Linked DNA regions of Caenorhabditis elegans. The protein of the gene in region 1 purifies or fractionates together with the protein of each later gene. This does not show direct contact. Each region holds a gene or a part of one and is shown in the gene's direction. Other genes may lie near its edges. The genes, in order: sorf-2 and F17A2.13.

What was found.
Region 2: the proteins of sorf-2 (region 1) and F17A2.13 fractionate together in Caenorhabditis elegans (co-fractionation; one large-scale study listed by BioGRID). This does not show direct contact.

The regions. Positions count from the first base shown.
Region 1 is NC_003281.10:5,322,542-5,332,027, forward strand, and holds the start of sorf-2 (Suppressor of organelle fusion 2), read left to right. Parts: upstream 1-4,081; 5' UTR 4,082-4,089; coding exon 4,090-4,265; intron 4,266-4,679; coding exon 4,680-5,405; intron 5,406-5,676; coding exon 5,677-5,894; intron 5,895-5,983; coding exon 5,984-6,132; intron 6,133-6,232; coding exon 6,233-6,367; intron 6,368-6,755; coding exon 6,756-6,893; intron 6,894-6,939; coding exon 6,940-7,273; intron 7,274-7,317; coding exon 7,318-7,820; intron 7,821-7,986; coding exon 7,987-8,337; intron 8,338-8,557; coding exon 8,558-8,716; intron 8,717-8,986; coding exon 8,987-9,336; intron 9,337-9,392; coding exon 9,393-9,486. Other genes in the region: F52C9.3 (uncharacterized protein), read left to right, coding at 267-397, 449-573, 994-1,457, 2,649-2,923, 3,554-3,691. UniProt on the Caenorhabditis elegans protein: Together with sorf-1 negatively regulates the levels of phosphatidylinositol 3-phosphate (PtdIns3P) to enable the conversion of early endosomes to late endosomes.
Region 2 is NC_003284.9:12,316,040-12,325,525, forward strand, and holds F17A2.13 (uncharacterized protein), read left to right. Parts: upstream 1-5,617; 5' UTR 5,618-5,626; coding exon 5,627-6,338; intron 6,339-6,482; coding exon 6,483-6,739; 3' UTR 6,740-6,954; downstream 6,955-9,486. Other genes in the region: xtr-2 (MX region of TRA-2 Related), read left to right, coding at 176-541, 589-691, 892-1,634; Homeobox protein ceh-40, read right to left, coding at 2,201-2,248, 2,485-2,727, 3,206-3,457, 3,503-3,577, 3,621-3,900, 4,570-4,661; srd-40 (Serpentine receptor class delta-40), read left to right, coding at 7,700-7,996, 8,436-8,573, 8,623-8,819, 8,862-8,940, 9,098-9,176, 9,221-9,393.

The DNA.
Region 1 (9,486 bases):
ATTAATTCTGCGTTTTTGGAAAGTTGCCAATATTTCGCTGAAATTTGAAAGTGAAATAATTAAAATAAATAAATAAAATTTATCTTTAAAAAAGATTTTCGAAAATGAAAATAATTCGGAGAGCAAAAAACTAAATTGCAAAATGTTGATTTTGAAAGAACGAGATATTAAAGAAAAATAAATATAAAAAATTCAGAAACTTAACAAGTCTTTAAAAATAAATCGGAAAAAACATCAAACAATTTCAAAAGTTTTCAAATTTTCAGCCGAAACACGTCCGAAACGAGTATTTGTTCTGGTGAATGTAGAAGGAAATTCACGTGGATGCTTTGATCAATTCAATAAAAATGCTCTTCCATTATTCCATCTTGCTGGGGTTCAGGTTGATGTTGTTAAGGTTTTTATTTTTGATTATTTTAATATTTAATAATTTTCCCGAAAATTATAGGCCGATAATCAAGCTCAATTGGAAGCTCTTGCCGGAGCAGTTGATACACAAGAAGCTGATATTCTATATGTTGTTGGAGGAGATGGAACAATTGGAACTGTTGTCACTGGCATTTTTAGAAATCGGTAGAGCAGTTAAAATTGAATTTATTTAATTTCCTGAAATTGTTTCCGGTTGTTTAACACGAATCAAGACACAAAATTCAAATTTTTGGAGACAAATTGATAGAAATTCTGAAAATTCTGGTCAAAACTATGTAGGCGCTATCGATAATGTGTGTTTTTATGGGAAACTTGAAAGCATAACAAATTGTGCGCAAAAATCGAAAAAAATTAATCTGGAAATTTATTTAAAAATTCTGAGGTTTTTCTCAATCTGGTTTCCTCCGAAGGCACTGTTTTTATTCAACTACTGAATTCAAAATTTGAAGTACGTGGCTGCGAAAAAGAAAGGTTTTGAATTATAATTTTTTTCAGAATTGTAAGAGTAAGAGCAAAATGACGGAAAACGGAAATTTTTTGGGGACAAAAAGTTCCATTTTTCAGAGAAAAAGCTCAACTACCCGTCGGTTTTTACCCTGGAGGTTATGATAATCTTTGGCTCAAACGAATGCTTCCATCTGTATTCGAAAACTCTGACGATGTTCGACATGCATGTGAAACTGCAATGGCTGTTATTGAAGATCAAAAGAAAAGTGTCTACGCATTCGAACTAACAACAGAAGGCTCCACGTTGGCTCCCGAATATGGACTCGGTGACGTCAGTGCTGGCTGGTTTCGACAAATCGAAGATACTCGCAAGAAATTCTGGTATTTCTCAATGGCCAAGAGACGGTGGGCTTATTTTTGGGAAATGCTTAAACGAGGCCCCGCCCCAATCGAATGCCACGTGGAATACGAGGAAACGTGTGCTGGATGTGAGAAATGCAGGCCTAAACCAATTATTGAGGCACCACAATGGAGATGGTGGCATGTACTTACTGGAACACCAAAATATAAAAATAATGATGGTATGGGAAATTTCAATGAATTTGCAACAAAAAAAATTGGATTTTTTTTGTAAAAATTTCAAATTTTTTAATTCGGGAAAATTTCGAATTTGAGAATTTTTGTAATGACAAAAAATTTTAAATTTTAATTTAAAAGAACAATTTTCGCTCAATTTTTGCTTAAAGGTGGAGTAGCGCCAGTGGGGAAATTGCTTTAAAACATGCCTATGATACCACAAGGACCGAATATCATGATAAAAAATTCAAAAAAATTTTCTAAATTTTATATGATTTTTTGAAAATTGAAAAATCTCAGTTTTTGCCTAATTTCTATTTGAATTACCGCCAATTGGATTTGTTCGATGGAGCGCGCTTGCACGTTTTTAAATTTATTTATTTTATTTTTTGTTATTTTCCACCGATTTTTAATGTTTTCGGTGTATTTTTGGTCGAATTTTAGAGAAAAAATCAAAATAAATGCAAATTTTCGATTAAAAAGCACGCTTACAGGCGTAAAAATGTAAATCAGTGAAATTAATTAATTCAGGTTTGAAATCGTTGAAAAAAGTTACTTTTACATTTTTACGCCTATAAGCGTGCTTTTTAATCGAAAATTTGCAATTATTTTGATTTTTTCTCTAAAATTCGACCAAAAATACACCGAAAACATTAAAAATCGGTGGAAAATAACAAAAAATAAAATAAATAAATTTAAAAACGTGCATGCGCGCTCCATCGAACAAATCCAATTGGCGGTAATTCAAATAGAAATTAGGCAAAAACTGAGATTTTTCAATTTTCAAAGAATCATATAAAATTTAGAAAATTTTTTTGAATTTTTTTATCATGATATTCGGTCATTGTGGTACCATAGGCATGTTTAAAAACTATTTCCCCACTGGCGCTACTCCACCTTTAATTTCTGAAAATTCATTGGAAATTGAATTTTAGAGAAAAATATATTTAACATTTTTTTCTTATTAAGAGAATTGATATTTGAAATTGAAATCTCTCCCAAATTTTCTACAGAATTGGGAAATACATTTAGATTTTTTAAAAAAAAGTTTTCAAATGTTAAAATTTAAATGTTTGCGAAAAAAAAACAACCCCAAGCATTCAATTTGAAAAAATTCGAATTACTAATTTTCTGGTACCAAGAGTTAAATTATTGCTCGAGTTTCGAGTTTTGAATCAAAATTTCTCAATTTTCAGGGCAAAAAGATTATACGGGAATAATCAACGAAAAATGCGGAGAAAAACATGAACTGGACACACACGGAGCTGAATTTCTTATCGAAAATGAACAAATGAGTGATTATTCACAGATTCGATTCAGAATGGGCGGTACGGATATTGGACGATTTGGAGTAATTTCTGATGGATTTAAACGATGTTCTGAAGGAATTGTTGGAAGAAGTACTGATGAAAAGTTTTATGGAACTGATTTCTTGGCAAATTCTGTTGCTTTTAAGATTTCTGCTCTACCGGTTAGTGTTTAAAATTCTTTAAAAAAATAGAACAGCGTTTTGAAATTTAATTTATTATTTTTTTCTTCTGAAAAACATTAATTTTGAGAAAAATGAGCAAAACTGATATTCAATAAAATTCTATATTTTTACTTTCGAGAAGCATAACAATTTAATTCTTAAAGTATAGAAAAAACTTCCAATTTAAAATCTCAGTGAAAATTTGATTTAGAAATTTCACTGTTTTTTGCAGAAAAAAAGTTACAAAAAAAATTAAAAATCTATTACATTTTTTAATGCCTCCTTTATTTTTAAGATTTTTCTGAATCAGTTAAATTTTTAAAACCCAGTGTCATTGACACAAAAAATTTTATTTTTAAACTTAAATAATTAAATTGTTAAGTTTCTCGAAAGTGAAAATATACAATTTTCGTGAAAATAAATGGTTTAAATATCAAGTTTTGAACATGATTATATCGATTCTTAATTTAAAAAATTTTGAGCATTTTTTTGTATTGTATAATCTTTTCTTGTCTAGCCAAAAACTGAATCTTTAAAAATTTAACTGATTGCTGATAAATATATTGAACTTTCTATAAAAAGTTTTCTGAAAAAAAAAACAATTCTTAATCTCATTTTTACCAATTTCAGTCCTACATTCATCGCCTCTACATCTCAAGTAACGCTACACCAAAAGATGCTGAACTCACGGATAGACAAATCACAATTCGTGGAACTCAGAAGAAATTGGACATTTTCCTGCCAACATCCATTCGCCTGGAACTTTAATGTCTTTTTATTCGATTTTTATCGATTTTTTAGGATTTAGTAAGAATTATTTGTTGACTCTCTTTTTGTTGTTTTTCTCTTTAAAAATAAGTATAAATAAAAAAGTTTTGTTTATTTATGTTTGCCCTGAAAATCGATACAACAATCATCATCTCGTTCCCGTCGAAATGTTTATTTTTGATTTTGGGTTACCAGAAAATTCAAAATTGACCTCCGCCTTCGGAAAGATCGATAATTGCAACGTTTTTGAATATTTCTCCATTGAATAATTCAGAATTTGTCGAGTTCATATTACTTTAATCTTAAAAGCGCGTGATCAATTCCTGTTGGGTCCCGCCACGTTTTAGGGAACTATAAAAATTTAATAATCATGATTTTATCGATTTTCAGACCCATATATGCCTGAGGAAGAGTTCGAATGGAACGAGTCAAAACTAAATGCTCTATCAGAAATTCTCACCCAATGGGCTCCACATGATGAACTGAAATTGGAAAATGTCATACTTGAGGCAAAAATGGCCTGGATTCACGAATCCACAGATGCTGTGGCACTCGAGAAAGAATTCGAAAAATTGTGAGCAAATTTATATTACCCAGATGCCAAATTCTGCAACTTTTGCTCCGATAATACTGTAACTGGCCTCGACACGACAAATAGTTATTAAAATTGTATGAACCTTTGAAGAGTACTGTAGCTTCAAATTCTCGTTGCGATTTTGCGTCGATTTTTCATAAATAGTTTTTAAATTTTCATGATATTTTTTCTTGAATAAAAATATATACATTTTTGAAAATTGGAAAAAATACTATAAGTTAAAAATCGATGAAAATTAAGCAACAACGAGAATTTGAGACTACAGAAATCTTTAAAGACGCGCCATGGCGCTCTATTTTTTTCATTGTCGAGACCAAGAAATTTGAAAACTGAACCATGTGCGATCCCGCTCCACTGAACTAATTATTATAAAGCTTATTCAAATTTTTGCAGACTCAACACCTCATTCGACCCTCTAATGGACTATGAAGAGCACCAACGAGTCAAAAATGGAGTGTGCTCACCGGCAAAAAGCACAAAATTGGATTGGATCACGAAATGGGCAAATATCGCAGAGAAGCTTTCAATTTCTCATATAAACTGCTCAAAAGCACCTCATAAGACAATAAATTTTCAACGTCTTCAAATTCTTCCAAATATGACTTCAATTCTAGCAATTGCTCATACAGAGGCAGATAATGTAATTTTGATTTATGGTCACACGAAAGAAGGAATCGATTTTCAAACTGTACTCCGACACTCGTACAGTAATATTCCTGATGGAAGCCTTCAGACAATCCATTTCCTCACTAAAAATCTACTCGACCTATATTCCCAATTATTCTCGAGAAAGATCACAGCTGAATTCAAAACCCGTCATTTCCGCTGTCTTCCAAGTTTCTGGCTTCAGTATGATGTTCTTGCTCCAATATTTGAGCAGTTTCGAGCTCCGCGAGCCCCCAGGATACCTCTTGATGAGGCAACGTCGAATTGGGCGAATAGAAAATGGGAAAACTATCAGTATCTGACATATTTGAATGATATCACTGGACGAGTTCGTGGAGAAGTACATAATCATCCGATTTTTCCGTGGGTGTGTGATTTTTCCGAGGAAAATGGCGGGTTTCGGCAATTAAATCGAACGAAATATCGGCTGTGCAAGGGAGATGATCAATTAAGGTACACAAATTTTTGGAAATCATAGTTTCAAAAAGTGTAAACTCGGCTACCAATATTTTACACGACCATGCCGATATTACTGTATATTAGTAATATCAGAATATATTTGTAGTGATACTGGAGCATCGTCGCAAATTAATTTTTTTTGAAGTTTCATTCATAAAACTTACTAAACTTACCATATACCAAAATTTTCCAACTCGAAGCCCCGGTCCCTTAGAAAACCCATAGTTTGGTAGAAATAAAACTTTGAAAAACTGAACCATTTTAGAGAAATGTACTCCCGTGAGCCATCGCATCACGTTCCCGAGCTGCTCTCAGACATTGGTTACATGGTCTACAGAGCCCGTGTGGAGCCTAAGGATAACCTATGCCGGCATGTACGACGGAAGTGGGTACCCGAAGAGTACCCATCGACGATGAGCAGAATGTACCAGTGGACTCCTGACGAGTGTATTCCAGAGTTTTATGATGATCCGTCGATTTTCAGTAAGACCACCTACCCAATCACGCTTTATTGAAAAAAAGTTCAATTGAGCGTATCAGCATCACGTTAGTTTTCAAACACCTACTTTTAGATTCTTGCCACCCGGATATGGCTGACCTCCGATTTCCCGAATTCGTGTCTTCCCCACAGGAATTCATTGAATGGCACCGGAAAATGCTGGAACACGAGGAAGTTTCCATGAACCTCCACAGATGGATCGACCTCGTTTTCGGATTTAATGTAACCACCGAAAAATGAGAAAAATACCACCGAAAAACAAAAAAAATAATGAGAAAAATACCACCGATACCACCGAAAAATGAGAAAAATTGCATTCCAGCTCGCCATCGACAATAGCAAGAACGCGCTGAATCTTCATCTATGCTTTGTGGAAAAGAATCGACGGGGGCTTCGGACAACGGGAATGGTTCAACTGTTCAATAGACCTCATCCGATAAGGATGCCGTTGAATTATGTATGTTACCTAGCGTTAGATTATAAATCTTATCAACCGGTATCTATACTTTTGGAGCTCTGAAAATCCCGATCAGCTTCTGAACTTCAGACTCTCCGGTGTCTTGTTGAAGTTCGGAATGTCTACTTCGTTTCTAGATACAAGTGGTGTAAAAGTCGGATCCTTGATAATGTAAGATCCAAGTATACATGATCCGATCCGTTCGGGTCATGGATCACGATCATCTCTTGCGTTCAGAAATCCTAGATCAACAGCCTGGGTTTCCATCTGATTGTTGCATTTGGAACAATCTGAAGATCTGACCCGACTTGGCATCTATTTTTGAAAGCTGAAACTTGCGATGCGTTCATCGTTTGACAAACTCAAATTATTTGTAATTCTATTTTAGGATCCGAAACTCGACAATTACCATTTGAAAATGGAGTCCTTCGGATTTGGTATGACTTCTGAACATCGCAAGGAACCCGAAGTTGAACCAGATGAGGATAGCCACTATCAGATCTACCAAAAGATCAAGAAAGTTCGGGTACTTTCCCATTCTAATCTATAAAATTTGGAATAATATATTCTAGCGTCTCCGCCACAATACATATTTCTCATCAATGGTATCAGCAATGGAAGTGATGGCGCAGATAGTGTTGGCACCGCATCTGGCAGGACGATTTGATGATCCTGATCACATTCGACGATGCATCCAACTCTATTCCTATCGGATTCCTGCAAACTATCGGAGACTCTTTGATTTTCTGTTCAATACAGAGCAAGACTTTCCAGATTGTGATGAATTCTCGTTTTTCGTTTCTGTTCGACTCAACATTCCGACTAAGATCTTAAACTTTTCTGAAGAGTTTGGCAAATGTGTATCCCTGCATATCCTGAGAAAGTTGGACGTGATTCCGCCTTTCTGTAATTTAGTTCATTGAATTTTCAGCTAAATATAAAATTTCCAGCCAAACGATCCCAGTTAATCATTCTGAAAGAAGTGGAAAGTCTAAAGAAATCAATTAGACTTTGCGACCACATGGAACAATGTGTAGTGGCGGCATTCCAGCAGCTACTCGAAGACGAAGAAGCATGCATTCAATCCGTACATCGACTTATGCCAGTGATCACGAGAAGCTTAAGCCAATCCGCACTGGAAGATCTGATCAATCCGATGATCGAGCTGATTCAATGTGAAACTTCAGTAAAGCTTCTTGATCGTCGTTTTCTGATGCACGTATCAATTTGCTACGGAACTCACACCTTCCTCGACCTTTTCCTTCCACCGATCGTTGAAGCGTGCGCATCCATGAATTGTGATAGATCAGTGGTGGCAAAGGAAAGCATCATGTGGCTCGCGAAACGATATGGTCCGGTGATCTGCGCAAAGTTCATCTCGTCGAATGTTTTGAGGATCATGGCGAGTTGTTACGAGGCATTTGAGATGGTTGGGTTGGAGCAGCAACCAAAGGTAGGAAAATTTCAAAATTCTGCAGTACCGAAAATCCCCAATCTTGCAGCTCTAGTTAATTAGCTTGCAGCTCTAATAGGGGTTGAAAGATTATTTGTTTTTTAGGATTTTAACTTTTACGACCAGAGGATATATCTATAAACTTAAAATCAAATAATATTTTCAGGCTGTATTCAACGTAGTTCTACAAGGTGACGAAACATGCTCTCGCATCGAATCCCTCCTCTCCGAGATTGTCCTAACCTACAGTGTGACATTCATCACCGTCCAATTTCTCCCGTTTTGTGTTGACTTGATTGAGCAGTTCCACAAACGATCGTCTGTACAGCTGGAGCCGGGACTGGTGTCTGTTTTCCGGATTGTTGAGCTCTCCATCCGATCCATGTCAGATCATCAGCTAATGAACTATCTTGAGGAGTTCATCATCCAGAAAGTGATCTATCGAGTACTCACTATTCTGCTGGACGCTAGTTTTCAATTTTCTTCCATGAGAGTTCGAATTATCATTATTTGCAAGGTCATTACTTACAGTTAACTACAATACCTCCTCTACTTTGCAAGTTCATATCTCGGTTCATTTTGAAAATGTTGGTAAATTCCCAACTGCAAAAACAACCATCCAAATTTTTGTAGCCAACAGTTGTTTTTATGGTTGATAAAACCAAAGACAATCGAGATACGGGGTGACAATGCTAATATGGAATGTATATGAAATTATAAACCAAACTATATTTTAGGTCTGCCAACTTCTTCATTCGATAACCCAGAAGATCGGAACCGAGAACACGCGGATCTACGCTAATCAACCCTTCAAACTTATGTTCTCCACATTCAGTGAGATCTATGAAACCGACGAAGAGCTGAGGATCAATCTCAGGAAAAGACCTTCGGAAAATGTAATCAATTTTTTTACACAAAATGAATCTTTCATGATTAGTTAATCCTAAAGCTAAAGCTAGCTAACATGTCTGTTGAAACGATTAATATTTCCAAATTGACCCTACAGTACCCCTATCGTACTATCCAAACAGCCTACTGAATAGCACCGGTAGAGGTATACCTCCTATAGGCCTCTAGGTTAATAAAGATGTAGTCGCTAAAAATTCTGAGTAAAATTACGAACTACAAGTCGCCAACCGTGTTTTGTTTTCAAAGATTCTGTTCAGACCCTCTTCGAAGTTCCCCTATGGATGGTTGAAGATGTCGTTGACAAGTTTGCCAAAGAATGGGGTGTTCCATTCCTCTCCTCTTTCTGTGATGATCCTGCATTCCTGATTCCATTCGTATCCAACTCATCCTCATCCTCATCTCCACCAGCTTCCATTGCTCATTCTCCACCGTCCGCATTCACAGCGTACTCACTAGGTGGAATGTCATCCGGCAATCGACTTTTCTCGCTTTCCGCGTCAAGTCCTGTAAATTCTGTGAATAGCTTGGGAGGCCTCAGCTTCTGTGATTCGGGATCGTTGAGCGCTGTCTGGTGTGCTAGGGTGTCTGCGGCGGTCTGTGGCGTTGAGTAAGTTTTTACATCATACTTGAAACATCTACAAATCCCAAAATTTCCATTTTCAGCAATTATCGGTTTGACCATCTTTCGCTGTGCAATTACACTGGTCATCAAGAGAAAATCCGAAAATTGGCTGCAATTTCCAATGAGAATTCATTT
Region 2 (9,486 bases), on another chromosome or scaffold:
ACGAATTTTTGTGGCAAATAAAAACGTTCTTATGATTTTATAAAGTTTTTAAGGCTATTAGCCTAAATTCTCATTACTGTTAGTCGAAATATTGGAGTTAATAAGATACCCTAATTTTTGGGGTGTATACTGTTTTTGATCAGATATATCATTTTTAACCTATTCAAATTTTCAGATTCCACTAGAAGATCTCAAAAATCTAAACATTAAAACGGACCAGAAAGAAGATGAGGCTTTCAAGAAGCCATTTCCGCCAAGTATCTACAAACGACGCGCGTCAAAAGATCATTTGATCAAACCTACCGATTCTCCGTCCGGTCTACATTTTGGACCGATTGAAAACAGTGTTCCAATAGCCTCAAATAATCCTTCAAAGCGTTCAAAGCATGAGCCATTTAAATTCAACTTTCCACAAAAAATGATGGAGTACCAGAAGGACGTTCAAAATGGTTCATCAAACTATGAGTATTTCCACAGTCCTATGGCAAAGAACTACGCCAGTGCCAAAATTGGAGAGTCCAGCAGAGTTATTCGGAAAAGTGTAGGTTATTGAAAAGTTTGTTCTGTGAAAAATGGATAAGTTTTTAGCCGCGATTCTTGAGAGCTCAGCAGAAAGTGGAGGATGATGAGTGTAGCAGCGATGAATCATTGGATGATTCCGAAACAAGCGAAGAGGAAGATGTAGATAGTGGTAAGTTTGAATAAATAAGAAACAAGAGAGTAGATCAAATATTTTTTTTTTAATCGAGTTTATTAAGACTTTCCACCTCCCAGAAAGTTCGAAATATTTAGAGTTTTACTACAGTCATAAGATTAGGGGTTTTGGTGCACTGAGCAAAAGAATAGCGTTTTAAGGTTCAGAAGCCAATCAGATTTTTTCAATAATTGCAGATGGTGAATGCGATGAGGAGGTTCAAGCGGTTTTGGATAGTCTGGAGAAGAAGAAAATAACTGATGGAAATCCAATTGAAGTTGAGCAGCATAAAAAAATGGACAAACCTCAAACGGAAACAGTAGAAAATGATAATGGAAATGTGATAGACGTGACGGGTATGCCTTACACCGTACTACATGTTAAAGGAAGTGACACTGACCGTTTTGTGATGTATAAAGGAAGCCTGCAAAAAATCATTGCAGTCCAGACTGTTCGTCACGTTGATTACCAATACCAAATCTACATCATAAACAAGAACAAGCCAATAGATATTTTATTTGGAGAAGTGATTTTGTCGAGTACCTTAGGTCTTGGAGAAGATGAAGCAACAATGTCTCGTGATGCACAGTTTGTCAATTACGCCAGAAATATCGCTAGGAGAAATCATTTCTATGAAGATGGAGGGACTCTAACTGAATTTGATAATCGATTTTTGTTGGTTAAAAAATCAAGAGTATTAAACAATGATGACCGAACTTTCGTCAGAAATGTTCCACGGGACTACAAAACCGAACCTCCCATAATAGAAGAAGTTCTTGAGCTCACCCGAAACTGCCCAGAGAAGCATCCAAAAGCCCATTTGTACCCACCAGCGTTCAGTTACGCGATGATCGAATATTCCGAAGATCGTTTTTGGACCGAGCGAACAGTTGATGTTCCTCCCGGAGTTCTTGTGCCCAATGGACCACGTAGGCAGTAATCAAAATATCAAAGTATTCAGCAAAATGTGGAAATGTTTAAATAGGATCATATCAGACCAAATCAATTCCCTATACTTCGGATCATTTTCAATACCTCTCCACTTCATGGTTGTCATAGATTTTCATTTCACCATTTTGTTTCTAACCGCTAGATAATATAATTTTACATTAGTTTCCAATTTCAGCATGTTATTTTCGCAGTTCCACCAAAATTTCATACTACTACTTGTTATGGATATAACTGGCCTGAGTTCTTAAAAACTTAATTAATTTCAACTTTTTTTTCAATATCACCACTTTCTCAACATTTTTAAAAACGCTTCAGGAAAATCTCCTGTTCTGTGAATAGTTATGTTGTTCTTGTTACCTCATTTATATTGTAAGCCCTTGTCTAAAAATTGTGATGTTGCATTTTGCAGCCAAAAACATTGGTCAGTATCAAATAAATTTCTTAAAAAAGTAATACATCTTATGGAACACAGGATGTATTTCAATGAATTTATTACTTTATAACATCATGGCAAATGTATGAATGAGTACTCAGTACCAGCATTATTAAAGTTTGTCATCGAGTTTGATTTGGGTTTTGTAGAGACTGTTGATATTGGGCCATCTGAAAATGAGAAAACTGTTTTTTTCGGAATATGCATGATTTCAAAATCTGGCAGTAAGAAAAAACCTAGTTTCTCAACTTTTCCAGCTGCTCGCAACTTGGAGTACATCGTTTCCAGAATTTGATGTATCCAAGAACGAGTTTTTTTTCAAGTTTAACAAAAATCCGGGTTTTGAAACAAACTACATATATTGCTCTATTTTTGCAAGTTCACAGTATTTGAAATGAAAACTTACCATCTCAGGATTGTACATGGAAAAATTGAAAGGGGCAACACCGATGGGAAATTGATGACCAGGTAACATCATCTGATATGGGTTCATCATTCCTGCAAACGCGTTGGGTACCAGACTATACGGAGCTCCAGGAGCTCCAGGCGGAGGGCGATCTTCTGGTTTTCTGTTTTCTCTTCTTTCATCCTCATTCTTAGCCATTGTTTTCTTGTAGCGAATTCGCTTATTTCCAAACCAGTTTGATACCTGAAAATAAACTGTAAACTACTGTAAGATTGTATGCAGATATCTGGGACTAAATTTTTTCAAATAGAGTGATAGAGTGTTAAGAAACACTGACAATATTGACAGTGACAAAAATAGTTTTTAAAAAAGTTGCATAATTTTTAGGTTCGTGTCTATAGAACAGCGATTATTTTATGTAACCACAATTATATTCCAAAGAATAATGAACTAGTTTTGCGTTTCTTTTAGAAAACCTTACTTCCCATTTTCTAGAAACTACTAAAGCATTCGTTAATTCTGAACACCGTTTCAACATTTCCTATTCAAAACTCCCGCGCAAATATTAATAGGAGACAGCTGACGCAAATGGTGATGATGGCGCATTTTAGCGAGCTTTTAATTTAGGCCTTATCAATATTATCTTCATGCAAATCGTAATATTCTTCAAAAGTTTTTTATGCATATTTTTTAGTATGTAATTTTGTATTTTCAATTTTACCTGAGCAACACTAATGTTACATTGCATAGCTAAGGCCTGTTTGACCTCTTCCGACGGGTATGGATGATTGATGTTTGCTAGGAAGTACTCGTTGAGAATCTCGGTGGAAGTTTTCGAGAAATTTCTTCTCTTTCGACGAGCATCCAGATAACGCTTTTTCAGTTGGATAACTTCTTCGCAGGCAGTCTGTTTTAGTACAAAACAGACCTTGTTAAATTTACCGGACATCTTGTTCATAAACTTTTCGGTTGACTGAAAAATTGGTTTAATCTTTTCACCGGTAGATTTATGGCTTACCTGTTGGGTGATTGGACGGAATTCTCCTTGTTGCTGGAGAACATCTTCAACGTACTCACACCACTTTTTGCAGTGCTGAAATTTGTATATTGGTTGGTGATATATGAGACGATCTTACCTTGTCAAACGCTTTTGTCTCATTTTCAAGCTCTCGTCTCACTTTCAAAAGTTGTTGACGATACTCGTATTGGTCAGTTCCAGCAGCTTCCTGAATACGCAACAAACTATCATCGGGTCCAGCAACTCCTTCTGCTTTGAGCATGGTATCCAGCCGTTCATCATTCTCTTGTGCTTCAAGATCCTTCATCATCTTTGTCGATAGGTCGATTTTGGACTTCTGCTCAACTAGAACATCTTGTACGGCTCGGTAGAATGGATTGATCTTGATTTGTGGTTTTCTGAAAAATTCATAAATACTTTTGACAATTTTTTATTTTTTATTTTCAGGAGGAAGTGAATATCCTCTTTTCTTTTTTGTATCTTGATAGTAATCTCTAGTGTTGGTTTTCATCTTATCGCAACTTCTCCATAAATGTATAGTTACCAAAACAATATTATGATAAATACTGAAGTTGAAAGAAAAACATAAGCACTCCAGCGGAGAGTTTGCTTAAGAAAGTTTTTCCAAAAAATAGTTTTCAAGAAGTTTGTGATGATAGTTGAACTAGAGCAATGTTTTAAGGAGCGGTACTGTTCAAATAAAGAAATTAGAGACAGGCTATTGCCTACAAAAGCTGATCAAAAAAATTAAACATTTGATGTTTTACGAAACTTTGCTTAAAAGCATATCTTGTCATTATTTTTTCTTGAGTCGTAAACTAATCAAAGTATTTTAAGTATGAATGAACATTTGTTATCAACATCTATAAACATTGACCAAAATTTTGAAACTTATTAATAATTTTGATTTGAATACTTATATCATCAACACGCCCATGAAACAATATTGAGAATTTTTATTATAGGAATATCAGAAAAAACAAGCGCAAACCATCACATAACGATTGTTGATTTTTTTTTTTGAAAACTTCGATTTATGGCAGCACATAAGCAAAAATCTAACTCACAATTTATTGACAGCTTCATTATCCATAGTCATGTCGGTAATTTTGACAACTTCTGACAGCAGATCCATAATCGATTTTGACGCCTCACTCATGTCTACAATAAACCAGAATTAATGATAAATGACAGGAAACGTATTGGAGATAAAATGTTGATGAGACGGACACATTAGCGAGAGGTGGGGTAAAAACGTAACGTTGTCAAGAATAAAGACAAATTGTGGTTGACAGACAGTATCGGTGCACGCAACGCAAGTGGTTGTAAATGATGTGCGCAGTTTGGGCGAGTCAATCGAATACTTTTTTGTGTGCAAGCGTTCGTTGCGTAATGAGCGCAACTGTGCGGTGAGATGGGAAGGTCAGCCGATATTCAGTCACGATATGAGTTGCAACAGATGCCGTTTCCCACATATTGGATTATTCGCCCATTGTTCTCCTCTTTCTTGCTCTTAATGTTGCCTAATCGTTTTTTTTTGTGTTCTCAATCTTACAAGTTAATGCATTTTTTATTGTTTTTTTCTCAGAAGCAAAGTTGCGTTATATAGTAACCAAATTTGAATTATGCTTTTTTTCAATTAAATCTGAAGATAGTGGACAGTCACTTTTTTGAAGAAGCCTGTAGAAACAACAGAACAAAATTAAATGGTGCAATTTTTTCTGATTTCACTGTTAAGCTGCAGTTTTTAGTTATTAGTTTTGCAGTCAACAAAGATTATCTGCCAAACTTGGAAGGGTGTCAATGTTCCCATTGCTACATGTTGTTTTCCTCTGACGATTTATGGGTTGAAGAGTCGGGAAAGGAGTGGGATGAGAGTCTAATGTCGCGTTAGCAATATCGATCGATATAAATAAGTGTAAAAATATCTAATTCCTCGTTTTCTTCATTTTGTATTTGAACGAATGGTCTTCTGTTTACACTCTCAATTATTCTCCGTCTCGAAAACAACTGTTTGGACTTTTTTTTTTCAATCTTACTCTTTTGTTCCACATTTTTTTAACGTTCTCAATTTTTCAACTGGTTATACAATACCTATAATTTTTTTTAAATTTCAGTACAACAATGTCGTGTTGCAATGACTTCTCCTACTCCAACGCTGGAATCTATAGGCAAGCGATGGAGGATATCATGTTTACCCCGAACAAAGATAAAAAGAAGTCAGCCTTTCATGATGAAACTTTAAATAGCCTCCGAAAAGTGAGCAGATTGGTGCAGAAGTTTGAAAGTGGCGGAACTGACGATGAGACTGTTGATGAGACCGAAAAAGAAGAGCAAGGAGAAGATGTGTGCGATGGTCCTGTGTTCAGGAAGGAGTCTTTTCTGAAACAGAGCCAAAATGAAGAAGAAGAAGAAAAGGCAGATGTTCAAGAAAATTTTGACGAGCAGGAGAATGCTAAAAATGAAAACGACGAGGTGTTCTATGAAAACGAGAACGAAGCAAAGGAACTAGTCGAGACCCCCATTCTCCGATCTTTGTCCCGCCAATTTTCTGGCCTAACGATTATCAAGTCTCACATCAAAAAAGACAATCTCGATGTGGAGAGTAGATCTCCAGCTCGTCGTGAGACGAGAATCATGTCAAGAAGAAAACAAGAATCGTCAGTGTCGTCATGCTCATCGGAGAGCTCTCATTGCTCCGCTTCATCGTCTCTCAGTAAGACGGAAAAACCAGAACCTGAGAATAGCAACTTCGTAAACGAACTGTACTACTGCAAATTGGCGAGATCTCAAGTTCACCACAAGTTTGAAGCATACTTCAAGTGGAAATCAGAGAGTAAGCATTTCTAAATTTTGAACATAAATTTTATTAGAGAAACTGATGTTTAATGGCAAGCGGAACTGTTTATCAACATGCAAGCAAAATTTATATTTCGTTTAGAGCAGTGTCTAATTATCACTAATATTGTTTAATTTTCAGCACTCCGATCAATTGCGGCATCGGTTTCACAGATGCGCTTGGACACATTGAATTCGATCATTGCACCACACGATGAACGCGTAAATGTTCTCAAGACAATCTATGAAAATTGCAAGAAGGGAGTAAACAAAGAAATGGATGCACTGTGCTGTGCTCTTTTTGATCTTCTTGATGATGTCGATGAGAAGTCATTATCGATTCACGAGGAATACGTTGCTGCCAAGTACCATAAAAAGTTGCAAAGTCAAAACTGTTAGTGGATATTTTGACATAGTCTTTTTTAATCTTTAGCTATTCCACCGCCTACTTCTTGTCAAATTTCTGAAGTTTTAATGTCTACCTGAATCTCGTTGTTTCACATTGTTTTTTTGTTTTCCTTTTGATCCTTCAATATTTTCTTTTTTTTTTCGTTTTAAAACATGTTTTGAATTGCCAATTCATGGTAAAGTTTTAATAAACAATCATAGTCAGTAATTAAATTTGGATAGTATTTGTCAATAGTTAGTCAAACTTGTCATAAATGTGTGGACAAAATAAAAACAATAATGAATATATTATTGGGCATAATACAGAAAAAGGGATGAGCTGAATTCTATTATATATAGTGATCTATGTTGACTTTTGATATTAATTGCCTAACATCTAAAATCTTTGATATTTGATAAATTTCCACTGAACACTGAACCTACTTAAGGCTATTCACAACAACAAATTGAAAAAGCATTCAGACACAATTTAGGCACGTTTCGCGCAACAATTTAACCACAAAATGTTCATAAATCTAAATTCTCGAAATTGGTTCTGCAAAATTGAAAAAAAAAAAATTAAGTGCCTGATAATTTATTTTGAATATTAATCGTTTGAAATGATAATGTTCCGCGCTTTCCAGCGGACGAAAACCGGGTTTCTACTTATTTTTTAATTTCCATCTTTTTGTTGCTCAGGTTGTCGTAGTTGGTTGAAATTCCTGATTAAATGTTCAAATATTATTCTAAGATTTCACGTCATTATTGGAAATGCCACTTTTCAGAATTGGACAAAAAAACATATTTCTTCAAAAACATCTGCTACGAAACGCCCTGTTTTCATTTTGTAACCCGCTAAAAGCAACGTTTCCATTTTCTGATCTTATTTACTGAAATTCAATCAAACTGAATATCAACTTAACCTCGTGAACAATTTATATGCAGCGTTTCAAATCATATATAATTTTCAGAATGGGAGCGGATATTTATCGGGATGTGCTTTATATCTTCTACCCTATTTTCTTCATTTTTTCAACAATAACACAGTTGATGTTAATTTATTTAATTTTTTACCACTCCCCAACACATCTAAAAATGTTAAAAGTATTCTTGTTAAACACAAGTCTTTTCCAAATTATCCTAGTCGTTGTTTCTTGTTCATCTCAGTTTCGAATGATTACAACTGCTATTCCTATTGAACTGAGAAGTTACGGACTGTTAAGATATTTGGAAGCGTGGCTGGGTTATACAATGTATCAAGTTTTACAAGTGAGTTTTCTGAGTGTGAGTTTGGAAAAACATATTATACATCTTAAGCATTAAAATTTTGAAATGTTTGGAAAATAAAATCTTTTGAATACATTTTGAGTAAGTTAACTGCTATTGAAATATATATATATGTTTTTGTATTTTTAAAACAAAAAAACATAACTTAAACTAGTGTATTAAAAAAATTGTCAATATTATCAGTTACCTAGATTACAATGTAAAAAATTCAAAATGAAAACCAAAAGTTCTCAATGTCATGATTTATTTGTTGGAGAAATACTAGGTATCTTCTGGAAGAAAATTCGAAGACGAATTGTGTGCAATTATGAACAATACCTCTTTTTTTTGTTTTACCGTATAATCTTAAGAGTTTGAATTTTTGACCAATAGATCTTGTTGAACTCAATAATTTAGTTTCATCCAATTAATCTTTACTCAGACTTCCGCATTTATGAGTGGCATGTCTATTTTAATAACATTCGTTTTCAAATATGAATTGGTTCGACAAATTGAATTTTCAAAAAGTCGAGTTACTGGTATTATTTTACTCTTTCACATGCCAATAATAGCATCAATGGTTTGAATCAGAAGTTCTATTGAAAACAAAAAACGATTAATATTTTCAGGTTATGGAAGTGATAATGGTGATAAATCAGTCGTTGCCAAATGAAATCAGAGAACAGTACAAGTTTCTCAATGCAAACGCCGAAGAGTACTCAATCGTTGGAGCGCTTAGCCTGAAAACAGTACCAAGTCTAATAAATTTTCTGTTAATTTCTGGATCTGTAGTAGCCTCTCCGTTCATTAGCTTCTTTTTTCGAGAGTGAGTAGTTCAGTATTTTCAATCGAAAATAGGCTCTTTCAGGAAAATTTTACGACGTATCAATTCACAGTTTTATCAACATTCGAAATGGAAAAAGTCTCAAATTCAAGTTTTTGTGAAAGTAGGTGCGCCCAGAAATGACAGTTAAATATTTTTTCTTAACAGTTTCGTTATTTGTGTGCTTACACTTTTTGTGTCCACGTAGTTATCTTAAAAGTTCCAAAATTGCAAGATTAATAGAGGAATGATGGCATTGAAAATCACCTAAAATTTTTCAGGGACTTACAATTCAAGCATTTCTTCCGCTCATATTTTATGTGCCAGTATTTGGTCTCTACTTCTATTGCATTTTAACTCGTAATTAAATCATTCCATGAAAACTTCAAAATGTTCGGTTTCAGATACAGAAATACTATTTCAACAATATTTTATGACAGTGGTCCCTTGCTTGCCAGCTTTTTTTGATCCAATGCTGACTTTGTATTTTGTGACGCCTTATAGAAGACGACTAAAAATTTGGATGAGAATTGAGAAAGAATCAAAAGTGCTACCAGTCACATCGCTTGTCAAGTAATCCTTGCTCTTCTGAGAGCAACATGTCTGCGAAAAAAGTTTTCTAATTATAGATGTTGCTTGCCCTTAGCAACACAATTTATGAAACTCTATT